Linked DNA regions of Callithrix jacchus. The protein of the gene in region 1 interacts with the protein of each later gene in a pairwise test. Links are inferred from orthologs where the notes say so. Each region holds a gene or a part of one and is shown on either strand. Other genes may lie near its edges.

The links. The genes of interacting proteins can lie anywhere in the genome.
Region 2: the proteins of HTT (region 1) and PPA2 interact in binary tests that used the Homo sapiens proteins (3 or more experiments, as listed by UniProt). The link is inferred for Callithrix jacchus from reciprocal best matches to the Homo sapiens genes HTT and PPA2.

What each region holds. Positions count from the first base shown.
Region 1 is NC_133504.1:190,017,882-190,023,186, forward strand, and holds part of HTT (huntingtin), read right to left. Parts: intron 3,784-5,305; coding exon of another isoform or gene 3,745-3,783; coding exon 3,660-3,744; intron 3,402-3,659; coding exon 3,283-3,401; intron 2,450-3,282; coding exon 2,338-2,449; intron 2,097-2,337; coding exon 1,959-2,096; intron 1,092-1,958; coding exon 933-1,091; intron 841-932; coding exon 743-840; intron 1-742.
Region 2 is NC_133504.1:91,980,242-91,986,266, reverse strand, and holds the start of PPA2 (inorganic pyrophosphatase 2, mitochondrial), read right to left. Parts: upstream 3,434-6,025; 5' UTR 3,422-3,433; coding exon 3,244-3,421; intron 1-3,243.

The DNA of each region.
Region 1 (5,305 bases):
TTCAACATGCTATCACTTAAAGAATTGAGGCTGTGTCACTTCTTACAAAAACAGAGGTTGATTAAATAATCCCTAAGGCTCACTTTAACTCTTACCATTCTACAGACCTAATAGAGTGTTTTTTTAAAATCCAACAGATTGTTATTACTATTATTATTTTCGAGACAGTCTCACTCTGTTGCCCAGGCTAGAGGCCAGAGGTGCAATCATGCCTCACTGCAGCCTTGATCTCCAGGGCTCAAGCACTTAGCTCAGGCTTCCTAAGTAGCTGAGAGTAGGTATGCACCACCACACCCAGCTAATTGGGTTTTATGGTTTGTTTGTTTTTTTTATTTTCTGTAGAGACAGAGTCCAACTACATTGCCATAGTCTTGAACTCCTGGGCTCAAGCAATTCTTCCACCTTGGCCTCCCAAAGTGCTCAGATTACAAGCGTAAGTCACCGTGCCCAGTGTATTCAAAAGACTTTAGACTTAATGACAGGTTATTTGTAAATATATCCTTTAGGAAAAGGTCTATTTCAAACAAATATTCTGAGAATTAAAACTTAAACAAGTTTACTGAGCATTAACTTGATCGGCAATGTTTTCCTTCTAAAGCTGAGAGATGGATACATGGTGGGTATTACTGTGTGCAGCTTCAGAGTATATGGAAATATTTCCTATTAGGCTCCAATTTTAATTTTAGTGATGATAAAGTGTCCACTAATTGAAGAAATGGTTTCCAGAGAAGATTATGCTCACCCTCACAGCTGTACAGGCCAACTTGCAAGTAACAGAAGACTCATCCTTCAATGTTTTCCGCAGCAAAGGAACGCAATCCGCCAAAGAAAATGTATTTCCTAAGCAGAACAACAAGGAGCAACGTCATCATGGAAACTTAATACTTGGTCATGAGATTTAGAAAAAACACAGCTGAAAAACCGGCCATTACCTGTCAGGGTTCTAATGGTGCCCATCCACTCTCCCACGTGGAAGCGGGATCTGCTGAGGATGGAGCAGACGAGGGTCCCACAGAGAATGGCAGTGGCTCCTCGAACCTGTGGGTCTCCGTGATCGATGTAGTTCAAGATGTCTGAGACATACTGTTCCTCTGTGGAGACAGATTGCCCCCCCCAGGGAACAATTCCCCACCATCAACTTTCTAACTCAAAACAAAAGCTTGATCTCTGTGGAAACAGAGTGCCCCCCCATGGAACAGTTCCCCACCATCAACTTTCTAACTCAAAACAAAAGCTTGATTCTCAGGAAAGAGAAAAAGAGGTGTGAAGAGAAGACCCAAATTCAGAAATGACTTCACTATAATAACCATAAGTGATAGAAAAAACGTTTCAGGATTTAAAAATTACAGAGTCATCATATTGCCAATATATCCTCAATACAACAGACTCTCTGGATTATAATTCTAGGTTGTCAGACAATAATCAAAATTCCAGATTTCACTTTAAAAAGATTAGTAAAAACCTTAACTATTACACACTTACCTAATATAAATTCAAAAGTACAAGTGTACCCTCTCATCCAAAGAAAAAGAGAGAAAGATAAGGCTGGAGGATGATGTCTGCTCCATAACGAGCACACGTGCGGTAGAGACACGGGTCCATTGCTACCTCAGCCCATCTTGGTTGCCAGTCCCCCAAGTGTGAATGCTTGGCCTGGCTCAGTACGACCCAGCTCAACTGTGACCATGCACAATTTGTGTTTTAGGTTTAAACCCGATGTGTATATAAATTGGCTCTTACATGCCCAGGTTTCTATTTTTGTCTCTATGGGTTTCATCTAAAGGGAACCAATGCAACTAAGAACTTACTATTCATAAGTTTTTGGAAGAGCTACAATGCAGGTCAAATACCCCAAATAAACTCAAAACATTTACTGCTCTAAAACTCAAATAGTCAATACTGCAATAGTTGTTACAATGATGATTAAATCTGAGAAAAAGATGCAAATTTTAACATACCCGGGTAGTCCGCGGTGTCAAGAGGAACTTTATAGAGTTTGCTGAAGAAAGACTCCGGGTGGAGGGCCACAGCCGCTCCCACACAGCTGAGGGCCAGGGCCTTCACGCTGACCCTCACATCCCTGTCCGGAACCAGCACTGCCAAGAAATCACCCAAGCCACTCTCAGGCTCAAACAACAGACAGTTTTCAAATGAGCAAAGCTAGACCCAATAACCCACCTGCTCCCATCATTTCTTCCTTTCCCCTCAGTTAGTGAAAACAAAACTCACCCCCAGTTTCCACTGCCTCTGGGGCACACAAGGCAAAAGCAGGCCATGAGGTTGACCTCTGAAACCTGGTTATTTCCTCCAACTCCGTACTTGCCCTATTTTACTCACCATTTTTTCCCCCTGTTAGCAAAAACGAAGCAGATAAAAGGCGGACACAATGGACAAGAGGTGCGGAATCATCATCGGTGGACTGACCGATGTCACCTTTGATGCGGCAAGGCTAGAAAGGAGACAGTGACACTTGTTTGTCTCATACTCAACCAATACATTCATGCATTAGTCCATTCAACAAATAGTTCTTGAGCAGCACTTACGCTGGGTGCTGGGGATAAAGAAATGTCCTGGTCTGTGCCCATATGCACACCTGACCTCACAGAGACCATGGCCAAGCAGAAACAGACAAGCCAGAGGCAGCAGGACACTGGGTCACAGGGCTGTGGCAGGGGATGAACACAGCATGCAGGGAGGGTGGGCATGGTAAGAAGGCAGCCAAGACCAGGCATTCAGGAAAGCCTGCTCTGAAAGCAAAGCATGAGTGAGTGGTCTTCTACTGGACAAGCAGAAACTACTTGGGGAAAGGACACAGCCTGGGGAAGCCGGAAGATAAGATGAAGTGGCCTGGTAGATGGGACTGACTGTGAAACCCTAGTTCTTGCCCTTGAGGAATTCAAAGTGAAGACCATTACATTCACATGTAAAAAGATAATATAAAGAGAGACTTTTAAAACAATTCAATAGAACCAAAACAAGAACCATTGCAAGGCCACACACAACGATCAAATGAATGGTCCAAGAAATCAGACAAGGAAACGTTCAGTACAGAACCGATTTCTCTGGGGTACACTCTCAAAGGAGGCAGAACTCAGGCAACTCTTCAGGCTGTGGGTAGTACCTGGAGAGGTGAAAATAACAGGCCTGGGAAGAGCTGGTATTTAAAGGGGAAATTTTAAATCCCAGGGATGGGAAAGCAATAAAGTAGACGGTAGCCAGGGCGACTTCAAATCCTCACGCAAGCTCAGAAACACCAAAGTGTCTCAAGCCTACGTCCCTCACCTTGCTTTCTTGATCACCCGATTCAGTAGCTTCATCTCTCGACACAAATTTATCAACACTGCTGTCAGAAGGCTGCCTGCTGTGACTCATGTTTTTCAATAAATGTGCTTGTTGAAGGGCTTTAAAAACAGAGAAATCAAGATTAAGTGGCAAATTTCCACATACAATGCAATTATACATTTATGCTAAGATAACTCGAAAGTATAGGATTTAGATCAAGAAAAAGTATGATTATTCCTAAATTGGTCATTTTCATCAGCTATTCAGAACTCGGAAAACGATATCAACGGATTTCTTCTTGGAAGCAAAGATGCAATTAAGATGTCCAGGGCTGAATACGAGACCACGTTGTAGCACATCACCTGGAGTCCACATACCCATGGAAGAGTTCCTGAAGGCTTCCGAGGCTTCATCAGGAAGGACACTTGTGGCTTCCTCATCTTCATCCTGGGGCTGTCCAATCTGCGGGCCCAAATACTGGTTGTCAGCACCGTCTAACACCTAAACAGTTCAAGGGGGGCTGTGAGAATTCTGAAGTGTGATCGCCAAGGGACAAGCCCTCCAACATGGAAAGGCAAGATGAAAGAGCACGTTTTACACATAGAACACAAGGGCGCTCATCTGTCATCTATTCAAATGGACAGAAATGCAAGTGTGGAAACTGTTTATGATCACTCCTTACCACAACATTATGAAAAGCTTTGATAGCTCGAGAAATTCCAATGTGGAAATTTCTTTTTAATATAATAAAGAAAAAGCCCATACAAAAACATTTGTCTTCACAAACAAATTTTACAGCAAGCTGGAAATATGAGGACAAAGCTTTTAGACAAAAACCTAACGATGTAACAGGTTATCTCCTAAATTGCAGAGACTACATCTACTAAATTTCGGGCATGGTATTTCGTATGTATAGCCATCAGTTTGGGACATGAGTCTACATCACAGGATGTTTCACATCCACTTGAAATGTCCTGTGTAATTGACCTTAAAAAACTGAGCGATGGACTTCTAAAACTACCAGCAAATTACCAAAATATTGTTTTATTAGCTTGTTAACTACTATACTATTAGATAAAACACTTGATGCGAATTTTTGAATTAAAATTGGGATGTAATAGCAACTCCATTTCTGGGTATTTAGCCACAAAAATGGAAAGCAGAGTCTCCAACAGATATCTGTATACCCACATTCGTAACAGCATGAGTCACAATAGCTAAAACGTGAAAGCAATACAAGTATCCACGGACAGAGGAATGGAAAAGCAGGATGTGGTCTATCCATAGAACAGAATAGTATTTGGCCTGAAACATCAGGAAGTTCTGACACAGGCTACAACATGGATGAGCTTTGGGACACTATGTATGCTAAGTGAAACAAGTCAGTAACAAAAGCACAAAAACTGTGTGACTCCTAAAGTATACGAGAACCTAAAGGAGTCAAATTCGGAAGACAGAAAGAATGGTTGCCAGGGATGTGGCAGGGACAGAAGATACAGAGTTCAACGGGAACAGAGTTTCAGCGTTACATGATGAAAAGGTTACAGAGACGGATGGTAGTGATGATTCCAGGACATTATTTAAACGGATCGAATACCAACGTAAAGAATGGTTAAGAAAATAAATTTTATGTTATTCCTATTTAACCACAATTTTTAAAACTGGAAAAAAAATGAAGTATGAAACTCAATATAGACTTGTACCAAACTTCACTAGACTATCCATAAGGGTTTCTTGTCCACTAACTCAGAGACCAGAGGTACTTAAACCTATGCTACTATAAAATGGGACATGTTGCAAAAGTTTTCTGAGAAGTCAAAAGTGCTTAAAATAATGCACACTATTAATCACATTTCATTAAGACCATAGATCTGTTCATAATAGGCTCCTAAAGGATTTTTAAAAAAAATTATTTAACCAGGGCCCAATAAGGCCTTAAAGAATGTAAAATGCACTCAATTTTAGCAGAGTTCATATAATCAACTAATCCAATTTTTTACCTCAGTGTTCAACACAAAAGACA
Region 2 (6,025 bases), about 98 Mb from region 1:
TGGGATGTTTGTGTTCAACTAAAGCAGTTTGGAAAATGATCAGATAATTCAATCTTCTCATTCCATGGCTTGAAAAAATGAGGTGCAGGGAGGTGAAGTGACAGCAACATACTAACAGGACCAGGGCTGGCACCAAGGAGACCTGATGATTCCCACCAGGATGCTCTTTCCCCTAATCATCCTGTCTCACTGTTTCTACAAAGTTTAATATCATTTTTTTTAAGTATTACCTCAATCATTTATTCTGATTTTCCTGAATGACAGTAAAGAGAAACCATTTACAGACATGAAGCTCGAAAATGCTCTGCCTCCCAATGCACTAGTAGTATTTCAGAAACTTGGAATATATTTGGAAATGTGGAAAATGATTCCATTTTAGTAACACGAATAACAATTTTAGGCCAAGTGGTACTACGCTCTTATTTTTCTTTGAAGTGAGACATTAGTCCACCCTAATACTGCATACAGACACACTGAGTAAAGAATATCCAATCTGTGACCATCTTTATAAATTAGGACAATTTGTCCATTGCTTTCCCCTTACCTCATTCGCCCGAGGGTGGCTTCCTTTCACTTTGTCCTACCCCTTCTAGCAAATAGTAAACAGTCCTGGCCAGTGATGCCATCTGGCGGTTAGTTCAGAAATTGTTTAACCAACACACCTTCCAATCAGGATCTTACCATCTGGACCCTCCAAAACCACACTCCCCTTTCTTCCAATTTTTGCCCATTTATCTTAGTAAAACCGGTTTTCTTCTTTTCTGCTCATTTTATCCAACTGAATGCAAAAAGTATTTTATATGCGGCATTCTAGTTACAGAAAAAAATCATGAGTCCTAAGTACATTTGCAGCTAAAGAAACAAACCAACAATGAGAGGCCAAAATAATCCCCAAAATGCCCCCATTAGAGATCCTGTCCTATTAGAGATTACTGGAATCTCCATTATTCATCCAATGCCTTCAAGGAATACCAGTGCTGAGAAGGACCTTGAGGATCATCACTTCAAGGTCAAATGCTTCATTTTATAGCTGAAGAAACTGGCTCCAGGAGAAAGAAATAAAGTAATCACCCACCCAACAGGACACAGCAAGTTAATAATCCTCAAAATGCCCCATTAGAGATCCTGTCCTTATAGAGATTATTCGAATCTCTGTTATTCATCCACTGCCTTCAGGGAATACCAGTGCTGAGAAGGACCTTGAGGATCAACGTTCAAAGTCAAATGCTTCATTTTACAGCTGAATAAACTGGCTCCAGCAGAAAGAACTGAAGTAATCACCCACCTAACAGCACACAGCAAGTTAATGGCAGAGCCATGATTATGACTTGGACTCCCCATTCCAAATCCAGTGCTGGGTAAAGTACTCGGTGTGCTCCAGGCTTCTGAAGCCTGTTTTTCCTCAACCAGTGTGTTAATTAATAGTAATATTGTGAATCTCCTGAGGGCAGTTCCCAAAACTAAATCTCCTCTATACAGTCTCTAGAACATTTCATAAATATTTATTGATTATTTGGGTATCTATCATTAATTGCTGTACTTCTTGCAAATCTAGAATACTTGCAGTAGACACGCTTTTTAAAATCTACTTAAAAAGCACTTTGGGAGGCCGAAGCAGGCGGATCACTTGAGGTCAGGAGTTCAAGCCTAGCCTGACCAATATGATGAAACCTCGTCTCTACTAAAAATATAAAAATTAGCTAGGTGTGGTGGCATGTGCTTGTAATCCCAGCTACTCGAAAGGCTGAGACCGGCAAATTGCGTGAACGCCGGAGGTGGGGGTTGCAGTAAGCCGAAATCACGCCACTGCACTCCAGCCTGGGCAACAAGTGCGACTCTGTCTCAACAACAACAACAACAACAAAAGGGAACTGCCATTTTGTAACACTGTTTCTATGACTATTCCCATTAATCATCACATGGTAACCTTTTGGAACACAATCCACTGAGAAATTTGATACTTCCTGTTCACCTGATTAATCTTAACCAAATGAAGATAGAAGAAAATATGTGGCATAGGGTGAAAACTGAAACCAATTTTAAAAAAGATAAAAATTCTAGTACTAGTTGCATTATAATCAGAAGACTTTAGGCAAGGTCGTCTTCGCTCCCAGAAAATAATCCTCGACCCTAGCCTCTTGTAGGATAACTGCAAATCTTTCTTACAGTACAAATGTCTATAATGCGTAGAGGTATCACTAATAGTGATTTCTATTTTAGGCCCTGTGACTAATTACTTTATATATACAACGTCATGTAATTCTTGCATCCCTATTTTACAGATGAGAAAAAACAAGGCTTAGAAACTTAAAGTCGTTCGGGGTCAGATGAAGAACTCGAGGGCCAGCTTAGAAGTGAAAGCCTCCAGAGCCAGTGCTCCCAACAGGGGAGCGATAATGCAAGGCCCACTTAGATACTACCACTCCATGGCTCTGCAGTCAGTGGGGCGTGAAGGCAAGCGACCAAGATCGCTATTTCCAGGTACAGTTAACGTACATAGTGAAACACTGGAGTACACCGAACAATGAGTCACGAAGACCTGGGTCTTTTCCCTGAACTGGGCAGCTCAGGGACCCGGCAAGTCGCTTAGCACTCTAGGCTTGCCCAACTTGTGGAGAAGAAGGGGCTGCCCTGGAGCCAGCAAGGCTTTTGATCGTGATCACACTCAGGGTGTAAACCTGTGCGTATCAAGTCATGCTTCTGGGAAATAACCTTTATCAGATCTTTCCAAAACGCTGGATTAGACACTGCAAAGTTCCGCTTGCTTCTCCGACAGCAGGAAGCTCCCGGAAGGAGGAGCTTTCTCACGGCTTTATTACGCCACCAGAAAGGCCAGCCGGTGGGCGGACTCTGCCCTCCTTTCCTCACTAAGTTGTGGGAACTGAGAACCGCCGCCGGGCCCTGCTAACCGTTGCTGGCCGCCGCGGGGTGAACGCTCGCACTCTGCCCACCTCTCTGGGTGGGCGGCTAGCAGGGTGCAGGGTGCTGTCTCCCTCCCCCGGCCGCCGGCCGCCGGCTGCCCTGCGCCCCGGCGTTCCGCTTTGGCGTCTGGATCCGCCGCCTACTCTCTGGCCGTTCTCCTGACTCGGCGCATGATCTCGCGGGGCTGGAGCGCGGGGTGACCGCCGAGGACCCCAAAGAGAGAGAGGGGAAACCGCGCAGGGCGCTGCAAGTGTCCCCCACTCCATCCCCCACCCAGGTTTCTCCGGCGCGCGGCGCGGCGAAGCTGCGCGAACTACTTACTGAAGAAGAGGCGGTAATTATGCGAGCAGGGCTCTCCGCGCTCCTCGGTGTGGTACTGGGCCATAGCACGGCGCGGCTGGGTCCCGGCGCTAGTCGCCAACTGCAGGCAGGCCGCGGCGGGGACACCCGCGCGCCAACCGCGGCCCGCGCGCAGCACCAGCAGCAGCAGCGCGCTCATGGCGTAGATGGCGGTCCGGCTCTGCGCGCGGAGGTTCTTGAGGGCCCTGCCCGTCCGCGCCGGCGCCCCCTACCGCTTGGAGTCGTCCCTCCTACCCCGGAGCTTGGGCTGCAATCCCGGTCCTTAGTGGAATCTGGGCCACCAGCCAGTTGTGCGCACTGTACCTTCAGCGAGGCTGCGGCTCAAAGAAGGGCCCACCACTCCTGAGACGCTCACTGCCACTCGTTAATTCATACATTTATTCATGACTTCATTTATCCCTTCAAGATTTACTATCATGATTTATTAGAGTAATGTAATACTGAGTGATTACTCTGTACCGGGAACTGCTCTAGACCCTGTCCAACATCGGAGATGAGCGCATACGCACACAGACATCACTATAAGACAAAATGATCAGGCCACCACGTGAAAACGTGACCTTGACACCGACTTATACAGCAAAAAACCCTAAGTAGCGTATTCAAATGCCATCTTCTTCATGAGGCCGTTTTCTAACCCAGTAGAGGTGATTTATCCTTTCTCTTACATTTTCATTTCTCCAGTGGTATTTGATACCATACCTGTATAACTGTGAACTTATGTTCCCTATTTCACCTTGACCTGCCAGCTAGATGGTAGTTGACCATGCACTGAAGACTTGAAACGTAGTATCCCCGCAGGATGTTGCACCATGCTTGGCATATAATTACGGTTTCTTTATGGCTTCTGAAATTCCCTCTCTGCTAAGTCTTTCTCATCACCTTAGAAATTTCTGGTTATGGAGCCTTCCAGAAAAAATTGTTAAAAGAATTGTCCACAGTCACTGTCTCCATTTCTTCATATTCTTCCCTCATGTCAATCCAGAAGGTTTCCTCCACCTTCCCAAGGTCATCAGATGACCTCCTTGTTGTCAAATAAAATTGATAAAAGTCAATTATCACAGTAAATAGGAGTGAAAGAATCCAGAAGATAGAAGTAAATAAGATTTTATAAATTACAAACTAAAACTTTTTAAAAATTAAATGTATCAGTTACTCAATACATAAAAGTGAGAGCTAGAAGAGTAGCAATTTTATAGAAAGAGGCAAAGAAATGTGTGCTTATGGATTTGAAAAAACAAAGTGAAATTATTTTAATTAAAAGAAGGCATTAAAAAATTATCTCCTGATTTGAAATACTACAGTAAAAATTAGATTATGAGATTTTAATAAGCACAATACATAAATTTATAAAAATATAATTCTAACTTAAAATCCAGGCCCTTTAAGGGAAGACTTACATCCTTTACATAGATTATGTTAACTAATTAAGTAATTAAGTTAGAATTGCAAATTTGATACTACACTAGTTAACTTCTCTGTTCTATGGCTACAAACAACACAATATGGTTAACAAGAAATTAGACAAGATATTTAAAACCAGCATTTACTTGCAAAGATCTGAAAGCTGATACCAAGATGGCTCTGTAGTGGAGAAATCTTGTAGGAGGGAATCAAGTGAATCTGTCTTATTGCTCTTATGTGCTTGACCTCTATTGCTAAGGTCACCTTCGTAATTTAAGATAGCTACCATAGCTCCAACATTACATCCTCATTCCACCTGCCAGACAGACCGAAGAGAAGAAGGTTGTACCCCTTCCCTTGAGAACATTGCTCACAAATCACTTGTATCACTTCTACTTGCATCCCATTGGACAGCACTTAGTCTAACGGCTACCACAAACTATAAACTAGCAAACCTTATTCTGAGTAGTGATAGCCCTATATAACAATTGGGAGCCATACTACTGAGGAAGAAGGAGAGAATGGATATTGTAGGACAACCAGTAGTCTGCCACAAATGTCATTTTTTTTCTTTCTAGTCTGTCTTCTTTGAGACTGTCATCAACTAGACCACTTTCCTACTGGACACCCAGGTTCTTTCAGCATTGTGATCATTAAAATTGGGAGACTAGTCTACCCAGGTTCCAGAAAGGATCTCTAGGAGATGTTGTGACTGGCTACTTAGAGGCTTTCTATTTAGATTATAGATCCTAAAATGTTTTCTCAACAGTGGTAGCTTTGAAATGTGTCAACTTGAATAGGCATAACTATAAGGCAAAAGCTCCATAAAAAGGGAGAGAAAATCTCTTTTGTGCATATGTCACAGAGTTGTGTAATTTTATTGTTTATATTGGAAAATAAGCTTAATTTTTCTATTAACTTTTGCAGATCAGATATTTAAATAAGTCTAATTCCTATGGAGGCAAGGTTGTGGGCTAATTTCTAATGATCTTTGGGTCTTAAAATGAGTTATCTAGGCTGAGCATGGTGGCTCATGCCTGTAATCCCAACACTTGGGAGACCAAGGTGGGAGAATGGCTTGAGCACAGGAGTTCGAGACCAGCAGCCTGGGCAACCTGACAAAATCCCATCTCTACAAAAAATACAAAGTCAGCTGAGTGGGGCGGCACATGCCTGTAGTTCCAGCTACTTGCGAGGCTAAGATGAGAGGATGGTTTAAGCCTGGGATACAGAGGTCTCAGTGAAACAAAAAATCGTGCCATTGCACTCCAGCTTGACCAACAGAGCCACACTGTCTCAAAAACAAAGTTATCTATTGAGTTAATCTAGCATGTAGTTC